Linked DNA regions of Neodiprion lecontei. The protein of the gene in region 1 purifies or fractionates together with the protein of each later gene. This does not show direct contact. Links are inferred from orthologs where the notes say so. Each region holds a gene or a part of one and is shown in the gene's direction. Other genes may lie near its edges.

Region 1 (8,143 bases):
CAGTTAGTGGATTCGAGTTGTGTATAATAACAGTCTATCTTACCTCACTAGAGGATGGAGAATGAGATTCATCCTCATCAGAAACATCCTTTATATCGGGCGGCTCAACTTTGATCTGAAAAAAGTATACTAACATCACATTCAAACACAGAGTAAAGCAGCCGTTACGTTTTCCTGTACAATTTAGAAATTTTCATCTACGAACCTACCATTGGTACCACTGGATCAGTTTCATTTCCTACTGATTGGGGAGTCAAACAAACTGCTCCATTACTAGTGAATACTGTTTCCTTAGCCAGTTCATTCTGCAAATTAGAATTCAATCAACAAGGGACAAATAAATGATTTATAACTCATGATATTAAGGGCTAGGAACCAAAAGAGCATAAAATACAATTATTCAGCATTCGATGAGTTTACTGTCGTGAAGGGGTATGCAATAAAAATCTAGAATAGCAGATGTAATCTGCAAATCGGAAAAACAGTGGGTTGCGTCTTTTTGGTCTTTAGCCCTCGATATTTACATATAAATTTTAAAACTGCAAACATACAATAGTATGTGACATCTTGCGCCGTTTACGAACACGAGGTGGCTCAGTTGGTGGAAGTTTATTTTTTTCTGTACTCTTCGTAGCTTTACGTGAGTTATCCAGTACTTGAGGTGCAACTTTTTTCCTGGTATTATTCTCTTGTGGTGGCACTGAATTTTTCTTCACATTCTGTGATTGTATTTCACCTTTCTCATATTTATTTCGAACATTGCTAAGACCTTTGATTTGAAGTGTTTCAGCCGCAGCAAGTAAGTCATCTAATTCGGTTTCTTGTACACGGATTTCACCATGATACATAAATTTAATGATCATTTGAAGATCTTCACACTTGATACCATTCAAAATTACCACAGGATGTTTTGCAGTATGGTGTTTGAAGAGTTCCTGAAAAGATATCGAATTTTATAATAATTATTGAATATTTCCTGTTCCGGCAATAAATGAGCCCCAACTCTGTGCTTCACATAGAAATTACCTGAAAATATGGACTGCACGCAGACAATATTATTCTATGTGCTTTTACGAATCGCCCTTGACAAGATAGAGTTACATCAACCAATTGTTCTGACGATAAATGTTCCATGAATACCTGAAAGAAAATCATATTACCAATTATTTAAGTTCAAAGTATTTACAAACATGCTATCATTGTATATCATATTAAAGATTGTGTAAGTAATATTTTCTTGAAGCAATTATAGTGAAGCTTGAGTGATATTACTATAATTTGTATGTATTCAATTGTTTACCTGCAAAATATTGTTCGTATGGTTATTCCATCGTAGGTTGAATTGTTGATTACCCTCCATCTTTTCACCTGAAAAAACATTTATTTATGAATTTTTTTTACACATTGATATTTATGGCCTCAATATTTCGAAACTTTTCATTCTTGTCTCGTGTGATAGAACCGAAATATTTCGATATTTACACTAGAATACTATATAAAATCAAAAGAAAGAAATTGGTTTTACTTCATGTTACTGATTCTGAACATTTGTAATGAATAATAAAGATAAACAAGATGTAAGATTGAATTAAGAGAAATTGCTATAAGCTGGCGCCATTATTTATAGAACAATGACGACAATAATTAAAGATTTTATGCCACTATGCCAAAAAACTGGTACAGCGTACTTACGGAAAGTTATCACTCGAAAGAAAATTATATGCACCGGCAGAATCAATTCATTTAATGTTCAAAGTCCAAGTGTCAAAATTGTTTCCTAAATTATCTTGAATTGGTTCAGATTCGCAAAAGATCGCTGGTTACCTTTTGTAACAATCGCCGATAGCTGCGCCCTCTGATCTTGACAGCTGTTCATCACCAACAGCGCCCCTTGCGGCTCTTTGCCAACCATGTTTGCGGCTCTTCGAAACACAACAATAACATAACCTGACTCGGTATTTTCTTTACATTTTTATCCGAATGTTATTGATTTGCACCATCTTCTTGAGTAAACGATTACAACATTTCATTCGGAAGTGAACATTTCATTAGGAAGGCCACAAAAAATTGGAAGGCCATGATTCTGGTTGTTGACAAAACGCAAATCCGACAGTTTGGCATTTACTGACAGGTGCGAGCGAAAAGGAGTAGCAGACGAGCAGAAACCTATGGGCGCGACAACGAGTAGAGATAGAACTAACAAGTGAGGCGGTTGTAATTAATGCAGCATTAATGAAAGATTTCATCTTCAGTCAAACTTACAGTAAAACGAAATAAGTGCGAATTTTCTTGATTCGATCAATGCAAAGATCAATGTATTCAGCCGAATTTTTTGGGCATTGTAATTACGAAGTTTAAATGCACAATTTATTTTGAACAGCACTCATTATGAGCGAGTTCAAGCTACATCATTTGGTTGGAGAACTTTTAGAGATACTTGGGTATGTAATATAAATTTGAAATTCTCAAAAAATGAATTACATCTGCTTCTATGAAGTTTAATCAATGCAATAATCCTCAGGTCCTCGTCAGCCCCTGAGAAATATGTAGAAGAACTTCAGAAGCGATGCAGCCGATCATCAGATCTTGCAATAAGCAATGTCGCAACTCAGAGCTGCGTTCGCAAGCTTGCTAAAAACGCACCGGATTCAGATCTCTTTTTACAAAAATACGAAGAATTGAAATCTAAAAAGTAAGACAATCATTCTCCCAATTTTCCAGTAGAAAACTTCAATTACGCTATTGTATGAACAGATATGAGATCAAGATTACCTATATGTAAATTTGAACGGTCACTTTTATTTGATGCTCTAGCGTCGACCTATTGGGTCCCTTTATGCAGCTACTTGATTTAATATCAGCAGATAAAAACTTAAAGGATCACTTGGGAAAGAATGCATTGTCCACTAATTTAAGTAATACCAAAAGTTCAACGATAACTCGAGAGGATGTTCCACAGGTTTGTTGGATCATTTTTCGTGTTTTGAATATTTTGTATTCAGTTTGAAATTGTTGATAGTTGCATAAAAGTTTTAATGAAATAATCCTACATTACAGATTTGTAAAAATGTTATTAAAGCTGCCGTCGAGGGTGAAAGGAAATTGAACAAACAAATCAGCATGACCGACAAGCGGAATGACCCTCCTCTTGTCTCACAAAACTGGGTCGTAGATCGGCCTCGTTTTTCTTGGGATTTTCCTTCAGATTTATCTGTTACTTTCTGTCAGAGTAATTTGATCAAAGTTGACCATCTCCATATAGAATCTTGTAGTTTATTACTTTTGAACAATTATTTATTGCAGAAGTTGTACCAGCTGCATCACAGGAAACAATACTACTCTGGGATATATTGTGTTGTTTAAAAGGGATGGATGGTTCGTACATCACTTCTGAGCCCCTTGCAAATCCTTATGATGTTCGATCTTTTGTAATCTCACAAGACGTAGGTAAGGATCATTAAATAGTGCAATAACTCTTGAATTTTTCTATGTTCAACATCTCAGTAAACATTTTCATATTATCGTTTTTCAGGTACCTCATATAAGCAGTTAGCACAACAAATATTACCATTGGCTTCACATTACTCAATGACTGTTAGATTTATAGAGGAAAAAGTTCTGCCTGAAGACGGTCAAGTTAATCACGCTTTGCGAGGAGCATTGAATTGTCTGCTAAAAGATTATTTGGTATGCAAATAATAAACATTTCTATTAAGCAATTATACGAACATCGTTTTTAGGATTTATCAATAAGTTCATCATGTTCAAATAACTTCAGCTCTTCATTGTACAATTGGAAGCCGAACATATTCGTGGCAAACTCAACTTACAGAAGTTATGGTTTTACATCCAGCCGACCATGGCTACCATGGCAATTCTTGCACATATCACGTCGACCATATGCAAGGTAGTTTTTAAGCTATTAACTATGAGTATTATTGAGTCACCATCTTATTTGTGCATTTCAAAACACAACACTTTCCTTTTGCAGGCGAGTGCCAAAGGTGGCAAAGTCTTGAGCTTGCTACACGAACACATGAATGATATCAGTGGAGAAGCTAAGTCAAAGGAATTATGTTTGTTCCTTATTCGTGCAGCTAGCGTTCCCTACATGCAAACGCTAGAAAAATGGGTCTACAAGGGTGTTATAAGTGATCCGTATCAAGAAGTAGGTTTTTTCTACTCTGCAATATGCGTTAATATTGTAGCTTTTAGTTTCTGCTTCTCGTGTAATCCACATACCACTGAAAATACAAGAATATTATGTAATTGCAATGAATATAATTTCAAAATTTACTTCGAATAGTTTCTAGTTGAGGATAATGAACTCATACAGCGTGAAGAACTGCCAATGGATTATTCTGCCGATTACTGGGAAAAGAGATACACTGTGAGGCACGAAAGAATTCCAGTATTCCTCAGCGAACATGCCCAAACAATTTTGAGAACTGGAAAATATTTAAATGTTATCAGGCAATGTGGTGAGTTTGTTATCAATTTCCTTTATAACTTTCAAAGTTGATTTTAGAAATCCAAACTTTTAAATAAATCTAAATTCATTTTACAGGTAAGACAGTTCAATGGGGAAAGCAAGAACCACTTGAATATCAACACCGTGGACAAAAGTATATTGCTGCTATTGACAGGGCTTATTCTGAAGCTGCGCGGACGCTATTGGAAGTCCTTATTCACGAAAACGACCTGATGGGACGGCTTCGAAGCGTTAAGAATTACTTTCTGTTGGCTCAAGGGGATTTCGTGGTACGTTTACAACTCAAAACATGGTAGAAATTCGGTACCTACAAATAAAATTTTTAAGTAAAATCGATTATTAGAAACGTGTTATAGTTATTTTTATCGTTTTTTACGTAATTCATTATTTTTATTAAAAATTAGTTCTGACATCAATTTTCTAGGTTCAATTTATGAATCTGTGTGAAGGGGAATTGGCAAAAAATATGTACGACATTGTGATTCATCGGCTAGCTTCTCTCCTAGAATTGGCTTTGCGCATGTCGACTGCAGATTGTGATCCATACAAAGATGATTTGAAGCCAGAACTCTTACCCCACGATTTACAATTTCAAATGTTCCGAATCCTTTCCATACAAACACAAGGGGAGAAAGGTATAGATGAAAATAATTGTTAAGTATTCAAATACTAATCGATTCTGTTGTTTATAGATTTTTGTTCTCAAGTTGATACGGCATTAACTGGATTAGAAGCCTTTGTATTCAACTATGACGTCAAGTGGCCAGTTTCTCTAATTATAAACAGAAAAGCAATAGCCTGCTATCAGATGATATTTAGACATTTATTTTACTGCAAACATATTGAAAGGCTATTATGTAGGTGAGTATTTTTCTTACTGTACAAGGTACTATGTAAGGTAACAAAGAAACTAAAATGACGGAAAAATGCGACGATTCATTAATCTGCAGGAAACAGTTTAATTCAAGTGATTTTCCTCTAGCAATTAATTCTGTATTAAAATATTGATCATAAATAGTGTTATTTAATTTTTCAGAGTGTGGATTAGCAATAAAATAGCAAAAACGTTTACGTGTGAAGCTGCAATGGCATATCGTCAAGCATTTTCCCTGAGACAACGTATGCTTGACTGTATACAACACTTGGAATATTATATGATGGTTGAAGTTATAGAGCCGAACTGGCTCACATTTCTCAACAAAATGAGCAAGGTATATAATTTCTTGAAATCAAATGAATGACATAGTTTTAACTATTTTTAATCCTATGGCACAGGTCAGCAACGTGGATGATGTTTTGAGCGTGCATCAGGATCTACTGGATAACTGTCTCAAGGAGTGCATGTTAACGGATCCAGTTTTATTGGCATGCATCACGAGTCTCTGTGCTGTATGCGTCGAATTCTGCAATTTCATGCAGGTAAAAATTTTCATTATTCTTTTACAATTTTTAATTTAATAACAATATTGCGTGTGCGATTGATTTGAAATAATACTTATACAGTTATTGCACAAACCAATACTAAACCACTGTTAGTTAGAAATAATAAAAATCGTATACGGAAGTTAAGTTAAGCATGAATAAGTCCTAGCAGATTTATTCGTATGACTTTGGTCGAGATAAGTGCACAACGGTTTTCTTAAAAATTGTAACATGGCTCTACTGTTACAAAATTTAATAAAATTTTTTTAAACGATGATGCAACCGAAAAATGAACCTTTTGGTTTATCAAAACGGAAATTTTATGAGAAATTTCGTGAAAAAAAACTGAAAAAGCTGCATGAATAAACACATGAATATTTGTCATTGTGTTAATCTGACATCATCTTACTAATGTCAAGCAAATGAGCCGGTACTATGTTGACGCTGAACTGACTTCAATGATTGGATCCTGTCAAGATGACGTCGGTGACTGTGATTCTGAGGTACACGGTTAAAAATATAAGTTTGCTACAGCTCTGCATCATGTAGTTCTAGAAAGCGTGATACTTGCTGCCGATAGATGATTCATTACATCGACTGCATCTCTGCGTTATTTTCATAATTTTTGTATTAATTTAGGCGATTAGCAAGAAACAAAGGTAATCATTAGGTATTTGTTGAAGATATTGTCGTTCTTTTGGAAGAAGTACTGATGTTATGTATTGCATGTTACGACCATGAAAACGAATATCCATTTATGCTTTTTTTTCCCAAACAACGTTTCATGTAAAAAATATTTTCTCAATGTAAATCGCGAATCGATATCTACGGCATCAACAAGAGAAATGAAAAAAAACTGAATTGCCCATTAAAAAATACATACATGTTGAAGTGAAATACAACATGATGCCGAATTAAGAAGTATTTCCGTTATAAGATTTTTGTGCTTTTGATTTGATTTCATGGTAGCAACGTTATTTGCATTTTGTAAATTTAAGATGTAATATTGGAAACATTTACGGAACATGATCAGGAATGCTCCTTCTTTATCTTCATTGTGATTGCAAATTATGTTCCTGCCTGGAAGGTTTTGTCAGACATGATTCTTCAGTAGCACCGTATTATAATACTAGTTGTGATATTTTTTGTTTCTAGTCCTTTTACTTTTAGCGTTTTCAGCTTTCAACAAAATTGAAACAAGACTTTGCTGCAAGAGAACAAGATAAAAAGAAGTTCAGGAAATGAATAGTGATAGCTATAACTAGTACTAGCTTCAAACTTTCCATAATCCATTCGCTTTCATGTTTAAATTAACAGATGACAACATCAATCTAATTCTACTCTGTTTAACAATTGTCCAGCTTTCTCATTGAACATTAGTAGTCAGCTGATAAAACGCAAAAGCCAGTCTTGATATAGACTGTATTAAAATTATTTTTTGTAACGTTGACTAAGATTGTGTTTAACCAGAATGAACAAGACATTGGTTGCGGGACCATCGATGAAATATACAATGTTCAATTAACTTTTGTTTCAATGAAATATCTGTCAATTATATTGCGGTGAATGCCTACGTTCAAACGAAATAATTTATATTATAGAATGATGCTGAATCAACTCTCGGAGCAGAAGAGGGCAGTTTTGAAGAGCGAATAACGAAACTGGACACTAGATTTATGGAGGTTCTTGTTCGTCTTCTTGATAGAATCCGTGACTTGGGCCGTGAAATTGATAATGAAAAGTTACTGAACGTTTTGTGCCGGTAAGTTTATAAATAGATAGATATTTTTTTTTACTTTTCATAAAAGACATTCTGATCTGATTGTAAAATGACACTTTTTCCGGTATATAGATTGGATTTCAACATGTTTTATACGGAAATGCTGTCAAGGCAGGGTATGGAAAAAACTACACGGCAACAAGACATTTCTGGTTGATAAGTGACCACTTCCAGATTGTATAATATACGATCGCACTATACTGTACCTACCATTGACTAAAAAAATGAATATATTTATAGATCTTTGCTAAAAATGACACAGGATCTGAAAGATAAATGCCATACTTTATTGATATAGATCAAATTAATTCATTAGTTATGAATTGAAAATTGTTGTAGATTAACAACACTAGCACAAAGCTAAATATTCCATTTACATAGTAAGCAATTAGAAAATATACCTAAATAAATAATATTACCTTGTCTTATCAATAATGGAACACGTTGTT
Region 2 (5,042 bases), on another chromosome or scaffold:
TATCTCTGATTTCTACCATATCTGATTGTGGCTTATTTCCAGTTGACCAAGCAATTCTCAATGATTTTGAGATTCAACAAGATCACGGGAAATCACAACAAATAATTAAAAATCAGCACATGGTAAAATAGAAATCAATAAAAAGACTGGACATTGATTTTAATGAATTGAAATAATTTGTAGTTTACCGCAAGACCTACAACGATTTGCAAAACTTGTTGCTGGATGAATTCTTCAGCGCTATCATGTGATTTCATAACATTTCAAGTCGTTCTAAGACGATTTTAATTATGTTGACAGATTGCTTGTAATTTCAAGAAATATTTGAATAATTGCTTAGTTTCTTCAATTAACATGTATTCATGGCTTTCTCAAGTCAACAATCCCTCGCATCAACATTTGTAGATACGTACGACAGGATAATTGCAGTAATCGTGATGACCAGAGGAGGCGAAAAGAGACGATTTGTGGTGAGTGGAGGCACTGAAGAAGTTGCGCTTCACAGCGCAGTAAAAAATTGTAGTAGAGAGAGCAAAGAATAGAAGGAAAGTGGCCGATAACCTGAGGTCCTCGTTGGCATTTGCACAGACATAAATTTCGTCGATTACTGTGGGAACTGGGATTACAGATTTCGCCGTGGAATTAGCTGCGGATGTAAGCATGACGATGTTTCACTAAGCAGAATATGCGAAGCGAAAAGTGAGACTGAGAGCCAGTTTTGGCGAATTTAAGCGTTTCGAGGTCGTGACGCAGTTTGCGGTTAGAGCACAACTCGCGTAAGGAAATTAAAACGATGTGCATGTGTGACTGTGTGAATTGCGGCATTAATGCACACGTTAAAACACTTATCGCGCGTCACGCGCAGCTGCAAAAGGCTGCTGAATGAGACAAGCTCCGCGCTAAGCGTGAGTTTGAAACAGTGAATAAATATGATTTTTAACACTACAAATACTCAGACTTACATTTTCCTTGATTTGCAGACTTTCCAGTTTTCGGGAAACATTCTCTTTCTGCGAAACTTGGAGTGGCATGGTGATTACAGGCAATTTATGCTCAGGTTCCATTATCGTTTACTTTTGATCACCTTCTGACGACAAGTTAACAAACGGTTTCGGATTGCTGATTCTCAGTCATCGAGGCTCCGCTTCTCATTTCTCTGGTTGGCCAATTTGCCAACACAATGCGGCACGTGACCGTGATGGCCAATCGGAAAAGGTGATGTTGCCGCCAAATTTTGCTCATACGTCGATTAACCGGTTTATGCTCATTTCTTTGGCAATCACGTGGCGGGAAAAAATCTGTTTGTCGTTTGCGTACCGGTTCGGTAATAAAAGATGATCGTATTTACTCTCGGCCGTTTCCCGCGCTATTTCTTGTTGCTCGCGCGCAATATTTCCCGCCAAATAGAGACAAAACAGTAACGTTACAACTGCCTTCGGCTTAGTTTTTCGGATACGTGCTGCTTTATCGATGCAGGGACTGGAAGATGTGAAAACGTCACCAGCATTGCCAACTTGGTGGTGTTTGATTGGATCTGGTGGTTTTTGAAGGTTTTTGGTGGAAAAATTTTGACGGTTTGAACATGAATCAGTGTTTTCACTGAAAAATGTAGTGATTCGCCCATAATTCGACATTTCTAAAGGGAAAGTTCATGACTTTGACTAGATTTAGGCCGTGTTCGAAAATTGACTCACAGTACTGTTAGCAATCTTTTATCTCTTTTGTGCTGCCGAGTTCATGGATGGCTCTGTCTCTGTCCTAGGGAATTTTTAGTACTGGCAGTCAATTTACGAACACGGCCTTGGTAGGCCTCCCAGTAGTATTCCGTGTCTAGCTTACGTAATGCTTACGTAATGGCTAGCGGTATGGTATAATTACAGGTTTCTCTCTGTAATTACCACGATAAATACTGAAAACATCGATTATTAGCCATCGATTTGCAGCGTTAACTAATCGAAGTTGGCAACATTGCCCAAAAGCTAGCTTCTCGCCTGTAAATAGTTAATTGCTTACCTGTCACCCGTGTGTCACTCACTCTATGGTCACTCTCTGGGAAACAAATGTGCATGATTATTAGAAACTTAATAACAGCCGTAGCCTGGTAGAAGTGCATCAGTTGCACTACAGAGTATAAAAATGAGCGTTCCTGACGTTGAGACGATCAGTGATCTCATCCAAAAACTTGTCGTTTCTCTTTGGGGAGATCAGAAACCAGGTTAGGTTACGTTAAATTAGCTTAGGTTGGTTTAAGGCCGGGCTAACCGCTCGCCACAATCGTTTTTACGAGTTTATTACGTCTGTGTTTAAGCACAATGACATGTTATGCAAGTGTTTAATCCCGTTGAATATGTATTTCAGCTTTGTTAGAATCTCCAGATTTGGTTGTACACGTTATTCGACCTTATAAAACCTTGAAACATTGACGATTGGAATTTTTTTACTTCTCATTTCATCATTTACAGTCATTTGTGATAATTTTTGGACATTAATTGCTATATTTTAACTCTACTAAAATTATATTTACAATCAGAAACAGTCATAGATTAGGTTTCATCCCTAGAATTATTTTTAACTCTAAATGTTATTTAAATAAATGAAATAACAAACGAAGCAAAGAAGGTTTTCAATTTTTAATTCCTACAAAGTATCTACCAAAGATTTGATTTCGCATAGCTTTTACAATCTGACGAACAAGATCAGCAATAAGTTTGTTGGAATGAAAATGACTATCGATTCGAAAACCATATAAACGTTTAAAAAACCTATGCTCAATGTGCCGAAATACTCTGCTCCTATTTTCAGCATAAAATCTTTTCACTACACAATTGAAAATAAAGTTCACCTACCATTATTATCTCGATTGGATATTTAATTTGTGTAGCTTGTTATTTATTGTGTCGAGAAGTTAAAAAAACCTTAATTCCTACTTTCTTATATTATATTTATTTTTCCTTTGATGGTTTTTGTTGATACCAATATTTTAATTACCGTAATTTATTTTTCAAGGATGATAATAATCAGAAATTACTGTCAATTTACAGCCGCGTAGTTTTCAGCTATCCCAAATTTTTCGCATGCAGATGCATCTTTCTTTCCTGCTGTTGCCATGGCATCGCAGAAAACAAATGCAGAAAGCAAGCACTTCGGCGGGGACTTGAACGTTTTTTGATATAAGGAAAAATTGAGATATTATTATTCTTACCTCTATGCAGGGTCACAACATTTTCGGATCATTTACAATCCTATTGTTAAATTAAAACATGCCTGTTAAGGATCCATATATCAGAGGTGAAAGGAGGAGAGCATCATCAATCAATTTAGACTAAAAATTGCATGTTTAAATACTTGCAGAGGCTATAAGACGCTTTGTGCGTTTCGCATTGGGACTCCTCTCTTCGTCTCCAGGTGCCGAAACACTCCGAGAAGATGAAATGAATGTTGCCGTACAGATCAAGGGAAAACTTGAAGTTCGCGATGCCGTTCAGTTCGACAAACTCCACAACGACCTTAAGGACGGGGTGCGTTTGATTTGTTTGTAGTTTATTTTGCTTTCATATCAACTAAATTCTTGATATTATAACCTTATTTTTTCAGCCACTAAAGAACAGGCTCAGCATCCTGACTTTTCTGCTTTACATGGGACAAACCGCTGATCAGACTAAGGACAGGCATTTTTCGTTCCCCGATATGAGGCTTGGTCTGACATCACCTGTCGCATCTACCAGCCGTGCGTAAAGAAACTCAGAATTTGTACCAGTTTCTGAATTTTTGTTTTGTGCTATTTCATAAATGAAACTGATTAACACAGCAAATAATGCATTTGTGACAACATGCATTTGATGCCGGACGCATTAACAAGCCACTTCTAATTGATGATATTGTAAAAAAAAGAAATTCAGTTGCTTTCTAACTTCGTTACGAATTTTCAATTAAGAATAGTATGGGAAAAATGACTCTGAACTTGTCAAAAAAAAAGGAAAATTTTTTCTTAAAGATACCAAACCTAAAAGAAAAACGTCTATACAGTAAAACATCGATTATTCGAACCAATTTGGACCAGGCCTGGTTCCGATAATCAAAAATTTGGATAGTTGAACAGTAATGTTAAGTGACGCGATGATCAGCTCTAGAAAATATTCAATAAATATGTAATGCACATATATGTTACGATATATGTATATATATTCCATGCCAATTTGACTTGAGATTCGGACAATAGATGGTTTAGTTAAGGTGATCATGGTTTGGATAATAGAGTTTCTACTGTAATTAATGCTTTGTTTAGGGCTGTGCATTTCATTGATTAATTATGAAAGCAATTAATTGAAAGAGTCGAATGACTGGAAAAACGATTAAATGATAATGCCAAACAAACCATTAGCCGAAAAAATAAATATTTGTCAAGATCTAATCATTAATTACTCGCAAAAACGATTAATCAAGCGTACGAAGAATAAAGTGCCGAATAATCGATTCATTGAAAAAGTGAATAATTGAAAATGCCGGTTAATTGATTAATTAAAGAAGCAGTTAATTAAAAGGATTATTAACTCGATTAACTGACAAAATGGAGTTGGAAACACCAATTAATCGGAAATATGATTAATAAACCGGGCCGATTATTCGATTCACTGAAAAACAATGAATTGGAAAGACTAATTAATCGATTAATCAGAATAAACAAACATAATACAATCATTCAATCGCATTGTCTTTGTTTAGTCTTATACATTGTTTTTTTTACAGATTCGAGTTTCTTATTAGCTTATTTTCGTCTTCCATATCATAAAATAGTATCAATTCTTTCATTAATTGTTTCTGAGTCACGTAAAGGCTTCCTGAAAATTTATCCCTGCTTATTGCATATCATCTGTTTTGAATTAGGTCAGACCTCACAGGTCTCGTGCTCTCAGGGACAGATGCTTCCATTGAGTTACACAGAGACGATAGTTCGCGGCCCATCTCTACATCCCGCAAGAATATTCAACGAGGAGTCAGTGTCCGAAGATCTGCTGGTCCAGGATCTTATTTACTCATTCCAG

The links.
Region 2: the proteins of gamma-tubulin complex component 2 (region 1) and gamma-tubulin complex component 3 fractionate together in Drosophila melanogaster (co-fractionation; 3 studies listed by BioGRID). This does not show direct contact. The link is inferred for Neodiprion lecontei from reciprocal best matches to the Drosophila melanogaster genes Grip84 and Grip91.

Annotation. Positions count from the first base shown.
Region 1 is NC_060265.1:6,773,526-6,781,668, forward strand, and holds the start of gamma-tubulin complex component 2, read left to right. Parts: upstream 1-2,098; 5' UTR 2,099-2,203; exon of another isoform or gene 2,204-2,380; 5' UTR 2,381-2,388; coding exon 2,389-2,441; intron 2,442-2,521; coding exon 2,522-2,692; intron 2,693-2,814; coding exon 2,815-2,959; intron 2,960-3,057; coding exon 3,058-3,229; intron 3,230-3,303; coding exon 3,304-3,447; intron 3,448-3,532; coding exon 3,533-3,687; intron 3,688-3,778; coding exon 3,779-3,907; intron 3,908-3,991; coding exon 3,992-4,168; intron 4,169-4,306; coding exon 4,307-4,481; intron 4,482-4,567; coding exon 4,568-4,761; intron 4,762-4,916; coding exon 4,917-5,127; intron 5,128-5,184; coding exon 5,185-5,353; intron 5,354-5,528; coding exon 5,529-5,703; intron 5,704-5,767; coding exon 5,768-5,911; intron 5,912-6,333; coding exon 6,334-6,417; intron 6,418-7,515; coding exon 7,516-7,676; intron 7,677-7,766; coding exon 7,767-7,851; 3' UTR 7,852-8,143. Other genes in the region: uncharacterized protein LOC107222887, read right to left, coding at 44-129, 206-305, 552-935, 1,027-1,140, 1,301-1,368, 1,825-1,912.
Region 2 is NC_060264.1:21,000,000-21,005,041, reverse strand, and holds the start of gamma-tubulin complex component 3, read left to right. Parts: upstream 1-2,008; 5' UTR 2,009-2,136; coding exon 2,137-2,215; intron 2,216-3,351; coding exon 3,352-3,518; intron 3,519-3,593; exon of another isoform or gene 3,594-3,594; coding exon 3,595-3,727; intron 3,728-4,884; coding exon 4,885-5,042. Other genes in the region: ribonucleoside-diphosphate reductase subunit M2, read right to left, coding at 414-662.